3 linked regions of the Pelodiscus sinensis genome follow. The protein of the gene in region 1 binds, or shares a complex with, the protein of each later gene. Links are inferred from orthologs where the notes say so. Each region holds a gene or a part of one and is shown in the gene's direction. Other genes may lie near its edges.

The links. The genes of interacting proteins can lie anywhere in the genome.
Region 2: FBXL13 (region 1) and DRC4 share a complex: the UniProt entries of both Homo sapiens proteins name them as parts of the nexin-dynein regulatory complex. The link is inferred for Pelodiscus sinensis from reciprocal best matches to the Homo sapiens genes FBXL13 and DRC4.
Region 3: FBXL13 (region 1) and DRC10 share a complex: the UniProt entries of both Homo sapiens proteins name them as parts of the nexin-dynein regulatory complex. The link is inferred for Pelodiscus sinensis from reciprocal best matches to the Homo sapiens genes FBXL13 and DRC10.

Annotation. Positions count from the first base shown.
Region 1 is NC_134711.1:23,449,126-23,452,867, reverse strand, and holds the start of FBXL13 (F-box and leucine-rich repeat protein 13), read left to right. Parts: upstream 1-749; 5' UTR 750-1,045; coding exon 1,046-1,120; intron 1,121-3,742. UniProt on the Homo sapiens protein: Substrate-recognition component of the SCF (SKP1-CUL1-F-box protein)-type E3 ubiquitin ligase complex.
Region 2 is NC_134722.1:2,207,366-2,211,107, reverse strand, and holds the start of DRC4 (dynein regulatory complex subunit 4), read left to right. Parts: upstream 1-1,231; 5' UTR 1,232-1,301; coding exon 1,302-1,304; intron 1,305-3,742. UniProt on the Homo sapiens protein: Component of the nexin-dynein regulatory complex (N-DRC), a key regulator of ciliary/flagellar motility which maintains the alignment and integrity of the distal axoneme and regulates microtubule sliding in motile axonemes.
Region 3 is NC_134725.1:14,340,854-14,344,595, forward strand, and holds the start of DRC10 (dynein regulatory complex protein 10), read left to right. Parts: upstream 1-1,251; 5' UTR 1,252-1,585; intron 1,586-1,604; exon of another isoform or gene 1,605-1,662; intron 1,663-1,714; exon of another isoform or gene 1,715-2,043; intron 2,044-2,183; 5' UTR 2,184-2,326; coding exon 2,327-3,040; intron 3,041-3,742. UniProt on the Homo sapiens protein: Component of the nexin-dynein regulatory complex (N-DRC), a key regulator of ciliary/flagellar motility which maintains the alignment and integrity of the distal axoneme and regulates microtubule sliding in motile axonemes.

The DNA of each region.
Region 1 (3,742 bases):
CACTAATCCTGGAACCCCAGAAGAGTTAATCTGGCCTGAGGCCTTGAACCTCAGACCTACCTTCTCTCCTCCCTCCCCACATGGGGCTGGATGCCAGGGGAGTGAGGTGTCTCAGTTGGGGCTACATCAGTGAGGTTGAGGGTTTTTGGAGGCGTTGTTTTTTTGCATCTCACTTGTACGGTCCCTGCTTTTTCTCTGGGTCACTGGCCTACCCCGACCCAAAAAGGTTCCCCTCCCTTCCCATAAATAAAGACAATGTTGAAACCTTTTGTGTTGGACATATTTTATTTAAAAATGAAGCCTGGCCAACAATCTCCTATCTGGCCACAGCATCACAACATCATAGCACCCCTCCCACACACCAACCCTGAGCCCCTCATACACCTCCTCTGCCCTGAGCCTCTCATACACCCCAACCCAAACTCCTGCACCCCACATCCACAAGCCAGTGGCTGGCTCAGCACCTCAACCCTCCACCTGACCCCAACACTCTCCAGCCTGGATCCCCCTCCCTGAGCCAGCATCCCCTTCTCCACCTCCTCCTGCACCTAATTTCCCTCCAAGAGCTTGCACCTCTCACCCCTTCTCACACCCAAATCCCTCATTCCCACCCCAGAGCCCGCACCTCCTGTCTCAATCCAATGAGAGTGAGCAAGGGCTGTGGCCAGCAAGTGATAAAGGAGGGGGAACAGAGAGGGCGGGGACTCGAGGAAGGGGGGGGCTCTTGGGGTAGATCTTGGCTTGCCCTAACAGTTAAAACGTGATCTTGGGTGCAAAAAGGTTGGAGGCCAGGGCAATAGGTGCAGCAGGGGCTGGTGGGCAGGGCAGTACAGAGTTGGAGGGGGCTGCGTGGAACTTGGGGGGTGAGGCGGTGCAGGGGGTGGTGCAAAGTTGGGATGGGACGGCACGCGACACTCCCCTCCCCCAAAGCCCCTCCGCACTCTGAGCTGAGGCGCCCAATGAGGGCGAGCGGCTTGTGGCCTCGGGTTGCTAGGCGACTGGGAGCGCCGCGCTGGGTCTGAAGCGCCAGAGGCCCGGCTCCGCCATGTCCTCCCTGCGCGACGCGGACCCCGGACTCAGGGCTTATTTCAAGCGCCACAGCCTCCTCGACGTCTACGAGGTAAAAGGCCCCGCCTGGGCGCACCAGCTCCCGGCTGAGCTGCGGGCGGAGGGAGCCGGGCTCGCAACGGCGCTGCGACCCACGCGGGGCTGAGTCCGTGTTAGCACCAACCCCCCCCCCCCCCCCCCCAGCCCGGCCCAGGGTGTGACTGACGCCTGGGCGCCACCTCCCTGAGTGTGCGGCTTGCGGCGTGGGCGGGAAGAGACGAGCTCGCCTGTGAGCCCTGGAACAGTAAGTTCCCGCCACGAGCGCAAGCCCAGGCGCGGCTGGCCCCTTTTCACCTCCCCCAAGCTGCCATGCTGGGCCCGCTAAGTCAGTGGGATCTCTTGCTGTTCCGCCCATTGACTTCAGTGGGTCTAGTGCGCCCGTATAATTACCTCGGCGGGAGGGGATGATTCTTTATAGCTAGTCTGGTTGAAAAACACGCTCAAGAACAGCAATTCTTACACATTCCACAAATCTCTGTGGACGAGGCCTATTCGTCTTGTAGAATAGTGATAGAAATGTAGCCGTGTTAGTCTGGGGTAGTTGAAGCAAAATGCAGGACAATGTAGCACTTTAAAGACTAACAAGATGGTTTATTAGATGATGAGCTTTCGTGGGCCAGACCCACTTCCTCAGATCAAATAGTGGAAGAAAGTAGTCACAACCATATATACCAAAGGATACAATTAAAAAAAAAGAACAAATATGAAAAGGACAAATCACATTGCAGGACAGGAGGGGGATTCGGGGGGGGGGGGGAGGAAGGAAGGCAAGTGTCTGTGAATTGATGATATTAGAGGTAGGGAGAGTGGGATGTTTGTGAGTTAATGGTATTACAGGTGATAATTGGGGAAACTGTCTTGGTAATGGGTGAGATAGTTCAAATGTTTGTTAAGTCCTTGTTGGCAAGTGTCGAATTTTAACATGAATGACAGTTCAGAGGATTCCCTTTCAAGTGCAGATGTAAAAGGTCTTTGTAGCAGAATGCAGGTGGTTAAGTCATTGAGAGAGTGTCCTTTCTGGTTAAAATGGCAAGAAACTGTTTTCTCTTTGTGATCTTGTCTGATATCTGTTTTGTGGGCATTAATCCTTTGGCGAAGTGTCTGAGATGTTTGTCCAATGTACATAGCAGACGGACACTTTCGGCACATGATAGCATAGATTATATTTCTGGATGCGCAGGAATATGTGTTCTTGATCTTATAACTCACTTGGTTAGGTCCAATAATGGTATCAGCAGAATGAATATGTGGACAAAGCTGGCAACGGGGTTTGTTGCAAGGGAAGGTACCAGGGTTGGTATTAGTGTGGTATGTCCTGTGGTGGTTGGTAAGAATCCTCTTGAGGTTAGGTGGTTGTCTATAGGAGACTATGGGTCTGTCTCCCAGAGCCTCTTTGAGTATGGTATCCTGTTCTATTAGTCTTGTGTTTGACTATCTCGGTTTTCTGTCCCATGCCAGAGGGTGCTTGTGGCTTCTTGTACAGTGGTTCATTGATGGAAAGGCATAAGCGTTTCTGCTGCTCCTTCCCTCTGTCCCCTAAAGCAGAGGTTTTAAATCTTGTACCTTCTTGGGCTTGTCCTCCACAGGCCACACCCAACATGCATACTATAGAACCTCCACAATAGGGATGTACCCGGTTAACCAGCAAGCATCAGTCTTATGTGTGATGCTTTTTGGTAACCGGTTAACCAGCGGCCTGGCCTGGCTGGAGCAGCTTCACAGCCCCTGTACACTAGGCTTGGCCCAACCAGAGCAGCCCTCTGCCTGTGGTGCGGTGTGGACCTGACCTGGCCAGAACAGTCCATGGTGCAGGGCGCTCAGATGTGTTGGAGCAACCCTCTGTCTGGGTCTACTGTGACACAGGTAGGGGGCCACTCCTGCCTGGGCAGGCCCCCTACCGTGGGATCCCAGTTATCTCGTTAAACATGTTTATCTGATTAACTTTATATGGGATTTTATATCCCTATTCCCTACTTGGCTCTGTGTGACTCCCTGGAAACAGCAACATGTTCTTGCAGCCATGAGGTAGAAGCATGGCAGGGGATGGGGACGGACGGACTGTATGCTGCACCTTGCTCCAAGCCTCAGTACCATAGTACGGTTGTAGGAGTATAATTTAGAGCTGTCAATTGACCTGTGTTAATGCCTGCGGTTACCACAGGACAGGTTTAACGCGTTAAAAAAATTAAAGCGTTAATCGCAGACGTTAATGCTGCACTGCCTCTTCAAAGGAGCAGCGCAAGCAGAGCTGGGGAATCCGCTGGCGTACCTAATGCACTGCCCCTTTAAAGCCTTGTGCTGCCCTTTTGAAATGCCATGGTGGCGCTTCCAAGGAGCAGTACTGCATGGAGCCCAGGGTCAGCTGGGAACTTCAGCTGATCCTGGGCTCCATGCAGCGCTGCCTCGTTGAAACACCGCCAGGGTGTTTCAAAGGGGAATTGCACATGATTAATTATGCGATTAATTGCTATTACATTTTTTAATCACGTGATTAAAAAAAACCTTTTGCGCAAGATCATTATACTTCAAAAAAGGAGGTATAAGGAACTTGTGCAAAAGGGGCTTTTTTGCAAAAAACGGACCTTCTACACTGCTTGTTTTTGTGCAAAAGCCTCTTGCGCAAAAAGCATCAGTA
Region 2 (3,742 bases), on another chromosome or scaffold:
TGCACCATCAATGCTGCCAGCCATGGAAGGTTGTGGGTGCTTTGCTAATCAGCCAGAAGGCATTTTAATCTCTTCTGGGTGGCTGCCCAAGTGCTCAGCTTACAAGGAACACTAATGGACAGCTTTTGGGTGTAGTGCCACACAAAAGTGCATGCTGCCTCTCCCTGCACTGAGACCAGGATCCCCTGAATCGGGTGAAGGTTACACCAGAAAGATGCCTGTGCACTGGCATCTTGGGTTGTTATGTGTTCGCACCATGATCTCCAGACCCACACTGTTCCCTTTTGAAGTCAAGAGGAAGTCAATTAACTGCAAACTCCCCCTGGGACCTGACAATCCAGCTGTTCCATTCACCTCTGCCTCCCCCGACTGAGGAGTCTGCTGTTAGATCATCCTGGCCTGATGGCTCACTGCACAGTGCAGGCTGGACTCCAGCTGCTTCTCCCATGGCTGTGATGCACCTGAGTAGATGCTTATAGCCTTAATATGCCTCACGGACATCTGGGGAGCAGATCTGGGAACTTGGTATAGGCCCCTAGCTAGAGTGAAGCCCTAAGAGACCCAGTGAGTCCACAGGGCCCGGAGTTTGGAGGGCCCTCGGCCTGTCCCCCTAACATGTACAAAGGCTGAGTGATTTTCCTGATCAGTCCCATCCTCAGCATCTGTGCATCTTTGTGGTGCTCCGGGGAGCAGAGGGGCACAGCTGGCAAGAGCCAAGGAAGCCCTGGGCCTCACACACAGCTTGCTGTGCACGGTGAGTGGGGGGATACTGCAGCGCAGCAGGGGACGGGGGGCACACCAGGCAGGCCACAGCTGGAGCGCCCTGCTCCACGGAAGCTGTGGCTGGCGCTCGGAGCATGGCAGCCTGGGGGTGTGTGGCCAGGGGCAAAGCACACGAGTGGATGCCGAGAAGACTCGGGCTTGGCCAACGTGCCGGGTGCAAGGCTGACGGGCCACGGGGCCTTCCCCTCCCCCTGGAGCCGGGGAGCCGGGCACCAGCGTCCCCCGTGAGCGGGGCCGCCCCAGCTGGGCCGCTGCTCCTGGCGCTGCCCATGCGCACGTGGAGCGACGTGTTCCGCACGCGGCCGGGAGGGGGCAGACGGGCTGCACCGCGGGACGCCCGGGCAGGGGCGGAGCCAGGGGTGGGCGGGGCCAGCGGCCCAGCGGCGCTCAGGGCCTAGAGTAGCGCTGCCGGCGGTTGCCAGGGCGGTGACGCGCGTTGCTATGGGCAGGAGCTCTCGCGAGACTTGCCCGGCGGTTGCCAAGAGACGCGGTGACTCTGAGCCCGCGCCCCAGCAGCCATGGTGAGGGCTGGGGGGTCGGGGGGGCCCGGGGGCAGCAGGAGGGGGGGGGTCGGGGGGGCCCGGGGGCAGCAGGAGGAGGGGTTCGGGGGGGGTCGGGGGGGCCCGGGGGCAGCAGGAGGAGGGGTTCGGGGGGGGTCGGAGGGGCCCGGGGGCAGCAGGAGGAGGGGTTCGGGGGGGGTCGGGGGGGCCCGGGGGCAGCAGGAGGAGGGGTTCGGGGGGGGTCGGAGGGGCCCGGGGGCAGCGGGAGGAGGGGTTCGGGGGGGGTCGGGGGGGCCCGGGGGCAGCGGGAGGAGGGGTTCGGGGGGGTCGGGGGGGCCCGGGGGCAGCAGGAGGAGGGGTTCGGGGGGGGTCGGGGGGGCCCGGGGGCAGCGGGAGGAGGGGTTCGGGGGGGGTCGGGGGGGCCCGGGGGCAGCGGGAGGAGGGGTTCGGGGGGGTCGGGGGGCCCGGGGGCAGCGGGAGGAGGGGTTCGGGGGGGGTCGGGGGGGCCCGGGGGCAGCAGGAGGAGGGGTTCGGGGGGGTCGGGGGGGCCCGGGGGCAGCAGGAGGAGGGGTTCGGGGGGGGTCGGAGGGGCCCGGGGGCAGCGGGAGGAGGGGTTCGGGGGGGGTCGGAGGGGCCCGGGGGCAGCGGGAGGAGGGGTTCGGGGGGGGTCGGAGGGGCCCGGGGGCAGCGGGAGGAGGGGTTCGGGGGGGGTCGGGGGGGCCCGGGGGCAGCGGGAGGAGGGGTTCGGGGGGGGTCGGAGGGGCCCGGGGGCAGCGGGAGGAGGGGTTCGGGGGGGGTCGGAGGGGCCCGGGGGCAGCGGGAGGAGGGGTTCGGGGGGGGTCGGGGGGGCCCGGGGGCAGCAGGAGGAGGGGTTCGGGGGGGGTCGGGGGGGCCCGGGGGCAGCAGGAGGAGGGGTTCGGGGGGGTCGGGGGGGCCCGGGGGCAGCAGGAGGAGGGGTTCGGGGGGGGTCGGAGGGGCCCGGGGGCAGCGGGAGGAGGGGTTCGGGGGGGGTCGGAGGGGCCCGGGGGCAGCGGGAGGAGGGGTTCGGGGGGGGTCGGGGGGGCCCGGGGGCAGCGGGAGGAGGGGTTCGGGGGGGGTCGGAGGGGCCCGGGGGCAGCGGGAGGAGGGGTTCGGGGGGGGTCGGAGGGGCCCGGGGGCAGCGGGAGGAGGGGTTCGGGGGGGGTCGGGGGGGCCCGGGGGCAGCGGGAGGAGGGGTTCGGGGGGGGTCGGAGGGGCCCGGGGGCAGCGGGAGGAGGGGTTCGGGGGGGGTCGGAGGGGCCCGGGGGCAGCGGGAGGAGGGGTTCGGGGGGGGTCGGGGGGGCCCGGGGGCAGCAGGAGGAGGGGTTCGGGGGGGGTCGGGGGGGCCCGGGGGCAGCAGGAGGAGGGGTTCGGGGGGGTCGGGGGGGCCCGGGGGCAGCAGGAGGAGGGGTTCGGGGGGGGTCGGAGGGGCCCGGGGGCAGCGGGAGGAGGGGTTCGGGGGGGGTCGGAGGGGCCCGGGGGCAGCGGGAGGAGGGGTTCGGGGGGGGTCGGGGGGGCCCGGGGGCAGCGGGAGGAGGGGTTCGGGGGGGGTCGGAGGGGCCCGGGGGCAGCGGGAGGAGGGGTTCGGGGGGGGTCGGAGGGGCCCGGGGGCAGCGGGAGGAGGGGTTCGGGGGGGGTCGGGGGGGCCCGGGGGCAGCGGGAGGAGGGGTTCGGGGGGGTCGGAGGGGCCCGGGAGCAGCAGGAGGAGGGGGTCGGGGGGGGGTCGGAGTGGCCCGGGGGCAGCAGGAGGAGGGGTTCGGTGGGGTCGGAGGGGCCCGGGGGCAGCGGGAGGGGGGATTCGGGGGGGGGTCGGAGGGGCTCGGGAGCAGCAGGAGGAGGGGGTCGGGGGGGGGTCGGAGTGGCCCGGGGGCAGCAGGAGGAGGGGTTCGGGGGGGTCGGAGTGGCCCGGGGGCAGCGGGAGGGGGGATTCGGGGGGGGTCGGAGTGGCCCGGGGGCAGCGGGAGGAGGGGTTCGGGGGGGGTCGGAGGGGCCCGGGGGCAGCAGGAGGAGGGGTTCGGGGGGGTCGGAGGGGCCCGGGGGCAGCGGGAGGGGGGATTCGGGGGGGTCAGAGGGGCCCGGGGGCAGCAGGAGGAGGGGTTCGGGGGGGGGTCGGAGGGGCCCGGGGGCAGCAGGAGGAGGGGTTCGGGGGGGGTCGGAGTGGCCCGGGGGCAGCGGGAGGAGGAGTTCAGGGGGGTCGGAAGGGCCCGGGGGCAGCGGGAGGAGGGGTTTGGGGGGGGTCGGAGGGGCCCGGGGGCAGCGGGAGGAGGGGTTCGGGGGGGTCGGAGGGGCCCGGGGGCAGCGGGAGGAGGGGTTCGGGGGGGGTCGGAGGGGCCCGGGGGCAGCGGGAGGAGGGGTTCGGGGGGGGGTCGGAGGGGCCCGGGGGCAGAGGGAGGAGGGGTTCGGGGGGGTCGGAAGGGCCCGGGGGCAGCGGGAGGAGGGGT
Region 3 (3,742 bases), on another chromosome or scaffold:
CAAAGAATAGTTCAGAGAAGTAAATTCATTAGTAACATTAGTTTACAACCAACCCCTCACCATTTAAAAAATAAATAAACTTGATCCAACTTAGCCTCAACCACAATAGCTACACCACTCATGGTTTAATTTAGGACAGAAATAGTCCTGGGTACATTTCTCAATGTTTGTTAATAAAGAATAGGCAGAAGCCGCATCTCTCTCCACATATATTTTTCCTGAGGGACAACAAGGTGACACCACCACATCACTCTGCATCCCGCCACCCCTCAGCCGCACCTCCCCCCCGCCTGAGGGGTGCTGGAGTACCCCCAGAGAGGCAGGCGCAGGTCCCTAGCATACAGTTGGCTGATCTTAGCCTGAAGGCGAGAAGCGAAGCACCACTGGCTCACATGGCCTCAAACCCAGCACTATGGTTTCTCTTTCAAAGTGCCTGCCCTGGGGATAGATTTGGGGGGGGGGGAAGGAGCCTGCCCGGGGGGGCGGAGCGCGGGGGGGGGGAAAGGAGCCTGCCCGGGGGGGCGGAGCGCGGGGGGGGGGGAAAGGAGCCTGCCCGGGGGGGCGGAGCGCGGGGGGGGGGGGGGAAAGGAGCCTGCCCGGGGGGGGCGGAGCGCGGGGGGGGCGGGGGGGGGGAAGGAGCCTGCCCGGGGGGGCGGAGCGAGGGGGCGGGGGGGAAGGAGCCTGCCCGGGGGGGCGGAGCGCGGGGGCGGGGGGGGAGGAGCCTGCCCGGGGGGGCGGAGCGCGGGGGGGGGCGGGGGGGGGAAGGAGCCTGCCCGGGGGGGCGGAGCGCGGGGGGGGCGGGGGGGGAAAGGAGCCTGCCCGGGGGGCGGAGCGCGGGGGGGAGGAGCCTGCCCGGGGGGCGGAGCGCGGGGGCGGGGGGGAGGAGCCTCACACGAAACCCGCACTCCTGAGCCCTACGGATACCGGGGGGGCGCCAGTCAGGCCCCTCGCCCTGCGCGGGGAAGGCGGGGCAAGTCCCAGGGAGGCGGGGCCAGACAGCCGCCGGGCCAGGGCAAGGCCCCGGGACCCGCTCGCACCGGGGGGTTCAGCTTCGCTCTCTGCCCAGGAGGGTCGCAGGGACACGCACCGGCCCCGGCTGCTCCTCGTGCAGCGGCCCCGCCCCTCGGCACACTGTGCGCGTGGACTCTCCACTCCGCCCGCGCGACCCCCGCCGGCCGCACCAACAGCAGACCCGAACCCGCCGTCGCTGCAACAACTCGCCTCAGTCAGCCGTCGATTGTCCACACCCCGCCTATTGGCCGTCTCCCTCAGGACTCCGCCCCATGCCTGAGACCGACCAATCGGCCCTACTTCCGTTCTTTAGCAACAGCGGCTCATGGAAGGGGGGCATCCGGGTGTCTTTCATTCTGTCCTTCCATTGGACTCTGGTCTTGCCCATCAAAGGAAGGGCTAAATTTTCCGTTTCGGATTGGACAGAAGGCTCGAAGTCTCTGCCCTGACTCCGCCCTCCAACGGAGAAGGAAGGGGCTGGGCTAAACTTACCGAACAAGGGCGGCGATTGGCTATGGAGGGAGGGGGCAAATCAGTCAGGACCTATCCCCGCCTCCTTTGTTTGGGGTTAAAGGTGAGCGAGGGGTAACCTAGCAACAGAGACACGCTGGAAGAGGACCGGAAGGGAGGCGGCGGCGGTGGTGTGAGCAAGTGAAGAGAGTTGGGGGACCTCGCCCGCACCCCCGGCAGCCTCCTGCCCCCATGCCCACCCAGGGAGACCGGGGAGCTTGCTCCCCTATTCCCACGCTCAGGCCACCTCCCCCCCCCCCATCCTTACCAACCTGGCCACCTGCTCTGATAGACCAGCCCCTGTTCAACCCACCGCCACAGAGACCTAGGAGCCTCCAACGGGACTGAGCAACCAGCCCTCTTCCCCCCCAAAGCAGGGCATCCCTGCCCCATCTCAGTCTAGTCTCACAAGGGCTGGAGAGTTTTCCTTCCACTTTTCAGCATAGGAAACAAACAGCTCATTAGCTGTCTCAGGCACTGGAGGCTAACCACTAGAATTAGTTTCACCTCCAGCACAGGAGGGTGGGCTGTCATAGGCATAAGGACCCAATATTCTGAATGTGCTTTTAAACTTAGAGACAGACCCCATATAATTTTACATTCTCAATTTTGGCCAAGGTATATCATGATGCTAATGCTAAAATCAAACTTTTTTTTTTCAGGTAAATGTTGTGAAAGAAGAGCATGCAGCAAAACAGCAGGGGAATCTAAATCTACGTGTATTAAGATGTCCTCTGTGACTGTATTCATATAGAAGATTTTTGCTCCCTTTCATCTTAGAACTTTTAAATATTTGACTGAGAATATGGCAACAGAGGTGGCTATCGTGCTCCAGTTGCCATATGAGGCAACTGAATCAACCACCAGGCCCTCCATGGGATACAGTCAGACTCCAAGAAAGTCAGTGATGAAACCAAGTCCACTAAAGCTTTTGGATCCAGCTCGTTCAAAACTTACCACTGTTGAGACAAAGAGGATCATATCTGTTTTGGATGAGACCATCTTTAAGATAGAACTGATCAGTCTGATCTCTCACATTACTGAATGTGTGGGTGATTTAAGCACTATCCTGGGATCTGAGCTCATAGGTACCCTTAAGGAGCATGAGCGGCTTTCAAACAACATGGAAGCTTTACTTACCCAGCTTCAAAGAGAAGGTTTCCTGAAGCAGGATGATGGAAGAGGGGACCTTGTAGGAACTGACCGCCGTCTTCAATTGCATCAACAAGCTGTAAAAAGCTCTATAAGAAATATTCTGAGACTCTTTCAGGCTGACCCTATAGCTTCTCAAGCTGTGAAAGACGAGGCTTATGCTAGGGATTTATCATCTGAAATGTTTCTCAAAAGGTTGTCAGAATTCCGGGGTTTCTTATTTGAGAAACTCCTGACTAGTCCCTTAGAAGAACAAGAAAAGATTCAATTCATGGAAGAAATCTCCCTCCAGGAAAAGAAAAACAGTGAAACTATTGCAGCATTAGAGGCAGAACTTGCAATGGCAATCCAGAGTCGAGATGATGAGGTACAGTGGTGGTAAGACTAAACATTTCAAACTAGAGACCTAGGTCATTGTAGGAAAGGCCAGTAAACTAAACTATATTCTGTTTGTTGCCTCTCAAAGTGGAAGTCACTAAAATATTTCTTAATACACATTCTGAATTAGAAATAGTTATATCTACAATATAGTTGAGAGAATATGTCTGTCTATTTGTTCAAGAACTTTTCCAAAACAGAGTTAGGGCTACCAAATACAGTGTACAGCCTTCTCTTATCATAACGTAAAGCAGCGGTTCCCAACAGCCAGTCCACGGTGCTGGCTGCTGGGCTACAGCAGCTGCCAGAGCTGAAGCTGGCTGTTTGCAGAGGCTCAACTATCTCCAGCACCCATAGAGACTGATTTTTGCACTGTGACAGAAGTGGTAGCAGGAGCCTTCCTCCCGCTCCCACCCAGATAAGTTGGTGGCTTGGCCTCCCCCTCACCACCTGTGTGGCCGATCTTGCTGCTGGCTGCGGCACTGGGCTGAGACGGTGGCAGAAGGAAGCAAATAAAATGTTAACAGTCTGCCTAAAGTTTGTGAATGGGTTTGCTGGTCCACAGTATAAAAAAGATTGGGAACTACTGACTAAAAGCAAGGTAAGGGTTTGATTGTGCCAGGAAAATGGAATGTGCCTTCTCATAAAACCATATAGAAAAGAAACAGAATTACCAGGCAAGTGAAAGGGG